2 linked regions of the Schizosaccharomyces pombe genome follow. The protein of the gene in region 1 interacts with the protein of each later gene in a pairwise test. Each region holds a gene or a part of one and is shown in the gene's direction. Other genes may lie near its edges.

Region 1 (5,989 bases):
ATATTGCCATGAGATATTTTGATGCCGCTTTAACACATCGTGATCGCGAATGTTTAATCCACGATCTATGTGACAACGATCAACTGAATGATGTTGTAAGAGAATTTATGAATGCGTTTTATAATATCATTTACGAAGCACATCAAGCTGCCGATTTTTCACAAGCTATTTATGACTTTCAGTATTTCTTATGGGATGTTATTCAGCTTTCAAAGGCCGGTGCTCCCTTAGTAAAGTTCATCAATCTTGTTGAACGTTATCAAAGCTGCTTTGTCCGTTTCATTCACCGACTTGTTGTGAATGCGCCCGATCTTTGTGGAGAGTGGTGCGACTGGTATCGCCATTGTTTAAAACAATTTAGTGTTGAGGTGAAGACTCCTGATGCGGTAGATGTTGCCCATAAAGCTTTAAATACCTTGGATGAAGAGACAAAACATCAAGTTTTGGAAGAAATTGGTGATTATGTGAAGGAACTTGATGAAGAAAGCAAGAAGGCTATTGAGAATAAAGATAGTACTAGTGAATGGCTTTTACATCTTTATAACTTCTTTGGGTCCGCAATTATTACACCCACTACAGCTCATGGAGTACCGCAGCCACAACTTCCAAATTGTGGAATGAAATTAAATAGAACTAAAGAGAAGCTGCTGACTCCTTTTCGAAATCTTTTAATGGAGCAACTCAACGAATTACAAGCGAAAAATCAAGAAACGCCTTCAGAAATGACTTCAACAGAATAATTTTATTACTAATTGAGGTCCAAAACATAATGACATAAAATCAAGTGAGGCTCGCACATTCCATCATTTCTTCTCACAACTACAAATGAAATGAAAATGCATTTCTTTTTTTTATTCTTTACTAATGATACATTCTTTACCATTATATTGCTTTTTTCATAGTGTAAAATTGTGAGCGTAAGAACAATGCTAAGATGGTGGTAACTAAATAAACGAAGCCACGTTCTGTATTCTTTTTCGTAAAAATCTTAAAGCTTCAATCGTTTCATTACTATTTATTTAATCCTTGTATTTAACTCAATGCTATGGTTGTTAAAAAATACGACTGCTATTTCGTAAACATTACAGTCAAATTACGGCATTTGAGTTCAGTAGCATGTTTTTGTTATTCGTGATAGTTTGGTAATTCTGAGGAAAGTTCATTTTAATTTTTTTTGCATTCGTTCCAAAGTTAAACCCTCTACATAACTGGAAGGGGGATGTTAATGGAAAATGAAAATGAAGCTAATACTCTTAGCTTACTTTGCAGTTTTAAGTAATATCTTATCGTCAGTGGAAGGTCGAGTAAGATATAGTAAGAGACCAAATCACAAACTTGGAACAGCCGAGTACGCAGAATGCATGTCAAATGCCCCGATAGTGTTTAATCGGTTTGATGCAAGTTATTATACACGAAACTTGTCAGTAGTCTTTAATATTCTTGGATATTCATCTGTGGACGCAAATGTTACGTTTGATATTATAGTTGAAGCTTATGGAGAGCAGAGGGCAAGATTTACTTTCGACCCTTGTGAAATAAATCTTAATACTGTGTGCCCAGTTGCAAGAGATACAGCTATAACCACACAGGGAATACTTCCAGTGAGCCCTCAAGATGTTCAGATGATCCCAAAAATTGCCTGGGGAATTCCTGATTTTGAAGGCTTAGTGCGTTTTCGCATGTATCGCTCAGAAGACATCGCAGCGTCATCCATCGATAATTCTACACCACTTGCGTGCATGATCGCGACACTTAATAATGGTCATACGTTTAAAAATAAAGTCGTAAAAGCTCTAAGTGGAACTGCTTTGGCATTGAGTATAGCAGGCGTCTTAGGCTTTTATGTAATTGGAATGGAGCATAGCACCTATCTGACACGTCAGGTTTTCATCAATTCCGTTCCTTCTTTGCAGCACATGGGAGAGCTACTTCAATGTATAGCTTTCACGGGAGCAATTGGAATTACACAGCCAAAAGTGCTAGTCGCATGGGCTAGTAATTTTGCATGGATTCTAGGATTTATTACCAATAAAGAGATAGAAAACAGCCTTGAGTCTTTTAGAAAGCATTCCAATGGAAACCTAAGTTCTCCAAAGATAGGTGGAGTCCATCGAAGAGATGCTGTTGCAACAAACCCTCAAAGCCCGATTCCTGGATTTTACCATGGGTTTCAAGGCCTAGCCACCGAAGTTGGAACGCTAACAACGAATTTATTTACACTCACTTTAATATGGTTTTTGATTTCTTTGGCCATAGCAGGAGGAATCGTTATAATATTCGTACTTATTATTAAGTTTCTTCGTCAGACACGTATAATCGCAAAATCTTCATGCGATTATATCACAAGGTATTGGTTTAGAGTACTTTTTAATGCTTGTATGAGATGGGTAAGTTAATTGAACAAAGGAATGAGTTGTTCATACATAGCTCTTAACGACTTTTTTGCTTTATACTTATACTAATCTGGTTGATATAGGTGTTGGTTTGTTGGCCTGTATTGGTAACTATGATAATTTACCAGTTTACACTTAGGGAAGCATATGGCCCTGTAATATTGGCGGCTTTGCTTCTGGCACTGCTTTTTGGGCTTTTCCTTTGGTTAACTATCAAAGTCATAAGAGTGATAACAACGTCAGGCTTGAGTAACGAGGACAATCCAGAAACATTGATAAGCGATCCAAAAATATACACATGGTGGGGATGGTTATATTTGGATTTAAAAGAACGGCGATGGCTCTATGTTTACGCCTGCTTTGCACATTATTTTAGTTTTGCATTGGTTTTAGCGTTAGTACAACAGTTTGCGAAGATTCAAACTATACTTCTATTTGTTATTGAAATCATCTCTTTTATATTGCTAGCAGTGTTTCGGCCTTTTGTTGGTTTCAAAAATTCCTTTTGCGTCTTTTTGGTTGCTCTCACCCGAGTGGTTTCCTTTGCTCTTCTCATACCGATAGCATTTGATTTAGCAATCATTCCGAAAGTGATCATTGCAATCATTCTTATCATTATACAAGGGCTGGTATTTTCATTTATGGCCCTGTGGAGCCTTTGGAACTTCATTACTATGCTAGGTACAGCATGGCCAGCCATTAGCTACACAGTCCCTTGGCTTAGAAGATTAATAGATGAATATCAAAGACAACTTCATATTGACTTTGAGAATCCTGCGGTTTCTGCAAGTGAAAAGCTATCCACCGAAGAGATTATCCCACAAGAATCAAATTTTGAAGAGCCCTCTACCACAAAGAAAGAAGGAAACGTAGACACAAAGGAAGATGGAAATGACGATGTCTTCAGCCTTGTTAACGCTTCTCCTATGCGACCAGCATCTACAATACCTTCACATTCATGTGACAACGGGATTAATGAAATGCAGCGTACTGTTTAAAGATTTTATCGTGGATGTTTCCAACTCAAACTATTGCATTAGAATGCCTTAAAGACTGAAAGTTGACAACACCAAGTACATATAGAAAAAGATATTTGCATTTGCATAAAAAAGATGATTGAACTTGATGCGATTAACCCTAATAATCTGAAAATCCTTGAAGTTATTAACGAAAAGTGTTTTGATCCTGAAATCATTATATTTCCAACCTCCTTTTACAAAGACACAATCTCAGTCGGGCCTTTAGCACAATATGCGTACTTTAACCAGGTCTGCGTAGGAGCTGTTAGATGCAAAAAAGAAACACATAATAAATCGCACAAAATCCAAATTTTATCTTTGGCAGTTTTGCCAGCCTATCGAAACCGTTCTATTGGTACCAAGCTGTTGGAATATGCTTGCGAGACTGCAGCTGAGGGAAAAGCCAAAGAAATTTACATTAAATTAAGCCCTAAACTCGATGTATCCGAATGGTTTATTCATCGGGGATTCATTATTGATGAGAGCTCCAAAACAGAAGATAGCGTCCTTCTTTCGAAAAAGCTATAGATTGCACACACATTTATTAATCTAAGTGAAATGCAATTATTAAATTGACTTGAAAATCTAACATGGATCCTTGGATAGATTTTAAAAGAATAAAATAGATTTAATTTTGAAATTTTTAAAGAACAGATTTTGTTAGCACCTTCAATAGGTACAAAATGTGATATCATTTGAAACAGCCGAACCTTGCCTAAGTAAAATTAAAAGACTTGAAAATGACTAAGATAATTGTAGGATTCTTATATCCTATCAATAATAAGAATATGAATCCATTCAATTAAACAAGAGTAAAGTACATACGAACTGTAGTGAAACATTACCACATGCGGCAAGACAACTTAGGAATTGAAAAACAAATGTTTATTTAAACAGCGAGCATTATTTTTTAAATGCATTAACCCGCAGTTATCCGCCAGCTTGTAATTCATCTGATTCCGTATCACTATCATATCCCTCCACCAAACTTCGTTTAGTATTTATAACATTTTCAAACTGTTTACACAAAAACATTTCATCTTCCGTAATTGCAAAGGTGCTAAACCATGTCTTATCGGATAATAATTCATTAGCTGAAGCAACAAATGCAGCTTTAATCATACTAATTTGAAATGATTGCTTTCCAATGTCGTTATTTCTGTCAATTGGATCTTCAATAGATAGCAAATTTGGTTGCACTTCGTTTAACCAGCCCTTTTGTAGCTTAGGAACTATTTGACCGGTTAAAGGTCTCAATACAAAAAGTTCGTATGTCCATTCGACTCCCCAAAAATAGAAGAATTTCTGTAGTAAAGCTCGAATTGGTTGCACTTCCGAATCAATTCCCTTTTTGTGAAATCGCATTTCAAGCCAACCAATTAGCATATAAGAGAGCGCGCAACTTGCAATCCCGCCATGATGAACGTTTTCCAAATCTCTTTCAAACAACCAGTGCTTCAATAGCATCAGCAATCTACCAAAAATTGGGTGTTCTTCGTTATAAGCTTTTTGCAATTCAGCAGTTCTGCAAGCTTTGTCATTTCCAAACGTCAAATCCACCCCAATTCCACTAACATCTACTAAATTGATGCGAGGGACTCTGGCACTAGAATGGAAATCAGCATCAGCATCCAAGTACTTTCTTAAAACCATGGTGACGCGTCGTTTCTCCAATTCTCCAACTCGAGGTGACTTCAAAGATACGTCTACATCACTTATAGATAATGTTGTTCCAATATACATGCTACCGTATACTTGAAGTTCAGCATCCAAAACGACCTCCCTAATGTGAGTCTGTAGTTTCTCTAACAAAAGCTTTCTGTACTTCAATTCCTCGATTTTCGGGCTTACGAACTCCAAAAATGAATAAAGTCGAGCATTATCACTCAAACCTTCTTCATTCCATGGTACTGAATGCAGCTCTAACAGGACTTTACCCATTCTTAAGAAATGGCATTTTGGCTAATTTTAATATCAATGGATTCAATTTCATGGCTCCTCGCACATAACGAGGTCGTGCGAGTGCCTTGTAATTATATGTAAATAAATCATTTTATAGCAAAAAAAAGTATCACGAGTTTTTAATCAATAAATAACTTATTTGTTTTTATAAATAATAGAATGATTGACTGCAAAAGCTTCCTAGTCTCATACAGCATTTATAGCGAAAACCAAAGATTATGAACCCAAGAAAAGCAAGCAAAAGATAGATAAGTACTCCCTCATCTCTCATTGTGCAAATTTTAACTTAAGCATGTGTATTTCGATTTTTAAAGGTTTCCTTTATGATATTTTTATTTGATAAACGAATTCGTTGGTTTACGCATGTAAATACTGTCATGGCGTCTAAATACATATGAAAATAAAATAAAATTAATCCAAGTAATTAGTCATGTACTTCTTTCTTTTTGGTAATCTGATTCGTAATGAACAGTGTAGGACTAAGTGTAACAATCATAATTTAGCAAAAGACAAATTCACAAAAAACAGTCAACTTGAAATAATCACGGAAAGATGAATATAAGGTGTTTTTTTGAAATCCCCTTTCGCTCAAGCAGTGTAAAAGTGACTATAATA
Region 2 (6,037 bases), 300 kb from region 1:
ACGTGGTTTAGTACATCCCACTTATAGCCTTGGGAATGCTATAATTGTAAATGTTATTTTACAGTATCGTTTAACTAGTAATAAGTATCTGTTTTGGTAGCTTTATTATGCAAAGCTAACAGAATGAATTAAACACCGCACATAAAAGTGATATGCAAAAACGTAATACAATGCAATACAGTGTAGTATGGCTGGGATAAAATAACAGCTGTACGATGCTCCTCCTAATAAAAGTAAGCAATAACAAGAATACAAATTGCCCCCACTCGGAATCGAACCAAGGATCTTCGCATTACAAGTGCGATGCTGTACCACTAAGCCATAGGGGCAACGTTGATTGCTGCAGATTTGAAGTAACATATTAATAAGTAGATATTTTTGTAAGATTCCATTAAAAGAGAGTGATATTCATTGTTTATATAAAATACTATTGTCTGAAAGATAAAGAAGTTTTTATAAATTTTTTCTTTTTAGAAATATAAATTATAGTAGAAAATGTGAAACTTTTTCTTGCGCGGGATCTTGCACTTCGCAAATCTAAAAATCAGTATTCGACTCTTTAAGTCTCTTCAATGCTTAATTTACCATAATTTCTCATCCATTGTTTTTTCTTAGATAATGAGATTCATCCAGCGTTCTAGTTAATATAAAAATCTTTCTTCACTTGAGGATTTGAAGGCTAATTACGGTACCTGCTTAGTAGAATACATATCGTTAAATTAAAGAAACTTTTCTTATAGCGTATTTGATACTTTTCGTGTGTTGCAATTAACTTGTTAATTGCAATTTTTTTGATTAAAAAAAATAATGTATCCTTCGCATTCGAAAGGATATTTCAAATTTTTGTGCAATGCATCTCTGTTTGCCAAATACTTGAAAAGCAACGAGTTCTTCTTCTACTGAGAACTCCGCAAGGTAGGTAAATCTCGTGTAGCTGCTAAACAAATCCTACAGATAAGAAAAAATTGCCATTATACTTTTTTTCTGTAATATTTTTAAAGGCACAATTATCCAATTTTGTTTAACAGAACTAGTGTATTGCTAGATGAGGAAGTCTGTAGAAATGTGAAGTCGTATCCCATAGTATCAGGAATTAGTAAATTTAAGAGATTTTCAATCCACTGATTGTTTTAACTTCTCTAGTTTGTAATGTACCTTTTGTTTCAACCTTGGATGTTGGGACGTTTCTAGTTGAGGAGTGAAGCTACGAACCGTTTTAAATAATTAAGTGGTATTGCCAAATAATAATTAGTTTATAAATATACTGGAGTATACTGGTTTTCTATTCAAAAGATTCCCGATAAACTTTGCCTTACAGATATGTAATACCGTGTCCCCAGTAATTGCAAACAACTAGCAATTGAACCAATAATGAAAATTGATGTAGTCATTTGGTTCATCGATACTGGCCAAAATACTTAAAAATAGTTTGTTTACTCTTTGAATTTTCGTATTTTCATATAAGAAGGACATGCAAAAATTGTTCTCGATGTGCCATCTTTTCATGTTTACCATCCATCGTCCATTGCATGGCTATTCGATAAGTTTCCATAAACGATTTTTTGAATATGTAGTACTCAGCGAAGTATGAACGCAATGTTTGCTGTCTTTTTCTACAAAACCATTTCTTCCAGGTCTAACATTCAACGATACGAGATAATTTATGAATCAACGTCTTTTTATAAGCACAAGACAAAGAGTAATGAAGAAGAAAGCAACCTTGCAATGTGGAACACATTAACGAAATTCATTCCAAGGGTTCGTACTCTTCCCAACCTGTCCTCTACACTTACCCATGGCCAAAGTTCAACTGAGCCCGAAGGAGATTACCCTTTTTAGAACAGCATTAGTATGTTAATCTTCTACAATTAACAAATTGAAAATTTCTCTAACCCTGTAGAAATGCTATGAAACAAAACAGTACAAAAAAGGATTAAAGGCTATCGAACCCCTGTTAGAAAGGCATCCAGAGCATGGAGAATCCTTAGCAATTAAGGGAATTTTATTACACTCTTTAGGTAATACCAAAGAAGGATACGACAACGTACGACTTGGTCTTCGCAACGATGTTGGATCCGGTGTTTGTTGGCACATTTTCGGACTAATTAGCAGAGCCGATAAAGATTATGTACAGGCCGCTAAATGTTACATTAATGCTCATAAGCTTGAGAAAAACAACTCGAGTCTTTTGCGTGACTTGGCGTTACTCCAATCTCAACTTCGTCAATACAAGGCTCTAGCAGACACTAGGAATGCTTTGCTGCAGGACAATCCAGGAGTACGTGCCAATTGGAGCGCTTTAGCAGTAGCTCAATTTCTTCGAGGGGAATACGCTAGTGCATATAAAATAGTGGATGCATTTGAATCCACTATAAATCAAGGTGTGCCCGTTGATACCCAAGAAGAATCCGAAGCCATGTTATTCATGAACCTTGTTATATTAAAAAAAGATGGTGTTGAGGATGCCTATAAGCATTTACTGTCAATAGAAAAGAAGGTATTGGATCGGGTTGCGTTTTTGGAGACTCGGGCAGAGTACGAGCTTTATCTTTCCAAAATGGAAGAAGCCAAATCAACCATATATCTTCTGCTTGATCGAAATCCAGACAATCACCAATATTATTATAATCTTCAAAGAGCGTATGGGTATGAGGATGCCAGTGGTAAAGTATTGGATAGTGCTGAGTGGTTGAATTTATATTCTCAACTTGCTAAAAGGTATCCCAAATCTGAGTGCCCTACGAGACTACCTTTAGAAAAGCTTGAAGGGGATGAGTTTTTAACTCATGTAGATCTTTACTTGCGCAAAAAGCTTAAGCGTGGAATCCCATCTGTGTTCGTCGATGTCAAATCTTTGTACAAAGATACCAAAAAATGCAAAGTTGTTGAGGATTTGGTTAGTAAATACGCTTCCTCTCTTTCTACGACCAACAAATTTTCTGAAGATGACGATAATTCACAGATTGAAATTCCCACCACGCTTTTATGGACATATTACTTTTTAGCTCAGCATTTTGATCATGTTGGTGAGTTGGAAAAAGCTGAGAAATATGTTGATTTGGCAATTGATCATACCCCAACGCTTGTGGAGCTGTTCATGACGAAAGCTAGGATTTCCAAACATAAGGGAGAGCTTCAAACTGCCATGGAGATTATGGATCATGCTCGTAAACTTGATCTGCAAGATAGATTTATTAACGGCAAGTGTGCTAAATATATGCTCCGTAATGATGAAAATGAACTTGCCGCCAAAACGGTATCGTTGTTTACACGCAATGAGGCTGTTGGTGGTGCTGTTGGCGATCTTGCAGATATGCAATGCCTGTGGTACATGCTTGAAGATGGGAAATCATTTGCTAGACAAAAAAAATTTGCTTTGGCTTTGAAACGTTTTAGTACTGTTTTTAAAATATTTGATACTTGGGCTGATGATCAATTTGATTTCCACTTCTTCGCATTTCGCAAGGGATCTCTTCGTACATACCTGGACTTAATGTCTTGGGAAGACAGTGTTTATGACGATCCTTCGTTTAGAGAGGCTGCCCAAGGGTCTATTGAAATCTATTTTGCCTTATTTGATTTACCATTTGCTAAATATAGCCCTAAATTACCCGATTTTGAGAAGCTTTCTAGTGGAGAAATAAATGAAGAAGAGGAAAAGAAGATATACAAGAAGCTGAAGAAGGACCTTAGTAAACGATTGGAACGTGCTGAGAAGCTAAAAGAGGCCGATAAATCTCGTGCAAAATCTGAGGACGGTATGCCGGTAAAGTATGATGAGGATCCTCTTGGGGAGAACTTAGTTGCTACTAGTGAACCTTTGAAAGAAGCTCAAAAATGTCTTGAAAAATTACTCCCCTATGGAGATAAAAACCCAAGTGCTTACATTTTGGCGGCTCAACTTTACACTCGTTTGAAAAATTTCGATACCGCTAGTAAATACCTCGAACAAGCTAAAGTAATTTTGGGACAGAATGACCCAACTGTGATATCTACAGAGAAGTTTTATAACTCTATCAAAACTCAGTCTAACTAAAATAAAAGGTTTTTTACTTTTTGTACAATAATAGAAGCTGCAAACCACTTTGTTTAACAAATTAGTATGGAAAATAAAAGTGCATGGAAATAATATAAAGATGGTATTTTCATTGTTTTGTGCACCCCATTGTACCATTGAAATGTCTTGTTTTATTATATTGTTACAGAGAGAATATTCTGGTATATTTAACAAATCCCGGTTTTTGCCTACGCATATATATGTAGCATCACCAACCCACACGTACTTAGGATATCCGAAACGCAATTGTCCTTCAATTTGCTTACGCTTTGATTAATTATTACTCATCTTAATCAAAGTTAAATTTTTATTTCATTGTAAACACATTTAATATGTTGTTTGATGCTTTTACTAACGGATTTATGAATGATATTTTTGAATTTGGTGACCGATCGAAATTCAACAGATCGGCATGGTTATCGTGCTGGGGCCCAGCATTGGAGCTAAGAGAAACAGAGGATACTATTGAAGTTGATGTTGAAGTCCCTGGAATCGATAAGCAAAACCTTAAAGTTGATTTACATGGATCGAAGTTGACTATTTCTGGTGAGCGTAAAAAGCCAGAGGAAGAAAAAGCGGGCCCTCTTATTCGCTGGAGTGAAAGATGTGTAGGTGCTTTTTCACGTACGATAACCCTTCCTCAGCCTGTCGATGAAAAACTTATACACGCTTCTCTTAACAATGGTATCCTAAGCATTGTTATGAAGAAAAAGAACCCTGAGTTTACGACAAGAATTGTTGAAATTCAGTAGTTTCAAATACTCAATGCTAATTTAAACTATAGCATTGTCTTTTTTTGGTCCTGGCATTTTAATGCTTGTTTTATGTTTGTTCACCACCTTTTTTGCATGACATCCGATAAACTGCATGTAACAGATAAAAACCAAAGTACTACCCTCCTTTAAGAGAAATTTGATTATTAACGGCTATATATTCTCAAGCATGGCTTCATACGCTTGGCATCGATTTGCTCAAGTATCAGGCTTATTGCTAAATAACGGAGGATTAATATATTATGAGTTCTATTCATAATCTATGAAAGTAAATGAAAAGCTATTTTTCTCCCTTCTATCTGAAAATGGGATATCAGACTGCTACAAAATTAAATAAAATATTGGCAAGTTTTACGTTATCAATACACTACAGAAATAGGATAAATTCTAACAAATTAATGATTTGTATTTTTACATTTGATATGTTTTTAGAATACATCGTTCAAAGGATATTTGACTTCACTTTTGACCTTGGCAAAAAGTTGATTTTTTATCTTTTTCCAATGTAGGGAAAAAATATTGAAATTGCAGCCTGTGACAGGTTCACTAAACCAGTATTGAATATTCTATAAAGTAATTGTTGAAATATACTTTGACAGATTGCTAGCCTTGGTTCGAATGTTTTCGAGACCCAACTTTAACCAAATGTTACAGTAATTATTGATGGTTTTGGTATCTATCCTGTATTCTTTATTCTTCGAATAGTTTCGTTGATCGAATATTAGAAAAATTTATTCTCTGTAATCATGCATTTGTATTTGTAATGTATTAATCAAGTAAGGAAGAGAAGGTACTCACGGATCTGCTAGGACTATTAATCTAGACACAATTTAGATTCAAATTACAATAATTCAATATAAAAGCACCAATTTGAATCTTCAGATCTTGTTTTGAAATGATCAACAAAGATACTGTGAGATCCGAATGCACCGCATCCATTAACCAAGTACCACAAACGATGGCAAAAGTGTATGATTAGACATATTAAAGTCGATAACAATTACTAATTTTGATAGCCCTCGCAATTTTAAATTACTTGAAGAGCTAGAAAAGGGCGAAAAAGGCCTCGGAGAGAGTTCTTGCTCATATGGTTTGACGAACGCCGATGATATTACATTGTCCGACTGGAATGCAACGATTTTAGGACCTGCCCATGTATGTTTCTATTGGGGTATATTTCAAGTGTTAAATTGATGTAAAAAAAATG

The links.
Region 2: the proteins of naa50 (region 1) and naa15 interact in a two-hybrid assay, tested with the Schizosaccharomyces pombe proteins (one large-scale study listed by BioGRID).

What each region holds. Positions count from the first base shown.
Region 1 is NC_003421.2:1,655,033-1,661,021, reverse strand, and holds naa50 (NatA N-acetyltransferase subunit Naa50), read left to right. Parts: upstream 1-3,464; 5' UTR 3,465-3,505; coding exon 3,506-3,940; 3' UTR 3,941-4,121; downstream 4,122-5,989. Other genes in the region: SPOM_SPCC663.15C (uncharacterized protein), read left to right, coding at 1-740; trp663 (TRP-like ion channel protein), read left to right, coding at 1,239-2,387, 2,477-3,391; poly(A) polymerase Cid12, read right to left, coding at 4,343-5,353.
Region 2 is NC_003421.2:1,360,833-1,366,869, forward strand, and holds naa15 (NatA N-acetyltransferase complex regulatory subunit Naa15), read left to right. Parts: upstream 1-1,785; 5' UTR 1,786-1,795; coding exon 1,796-1,849; exon of another isoform or gene 1,850-1,884; intron 1,885-1,900; coding exon 1,901-4,036; 3' UTR 4,037-4,121; downstream 4,122-6,037. Other genes in the region: Hsp20 family protein, read left to right, coding at 4,390-4,809; ubiquitin-conjugating enzyme Mms2, read left to right, coding at 5,789-5,799, 5,847-5,985.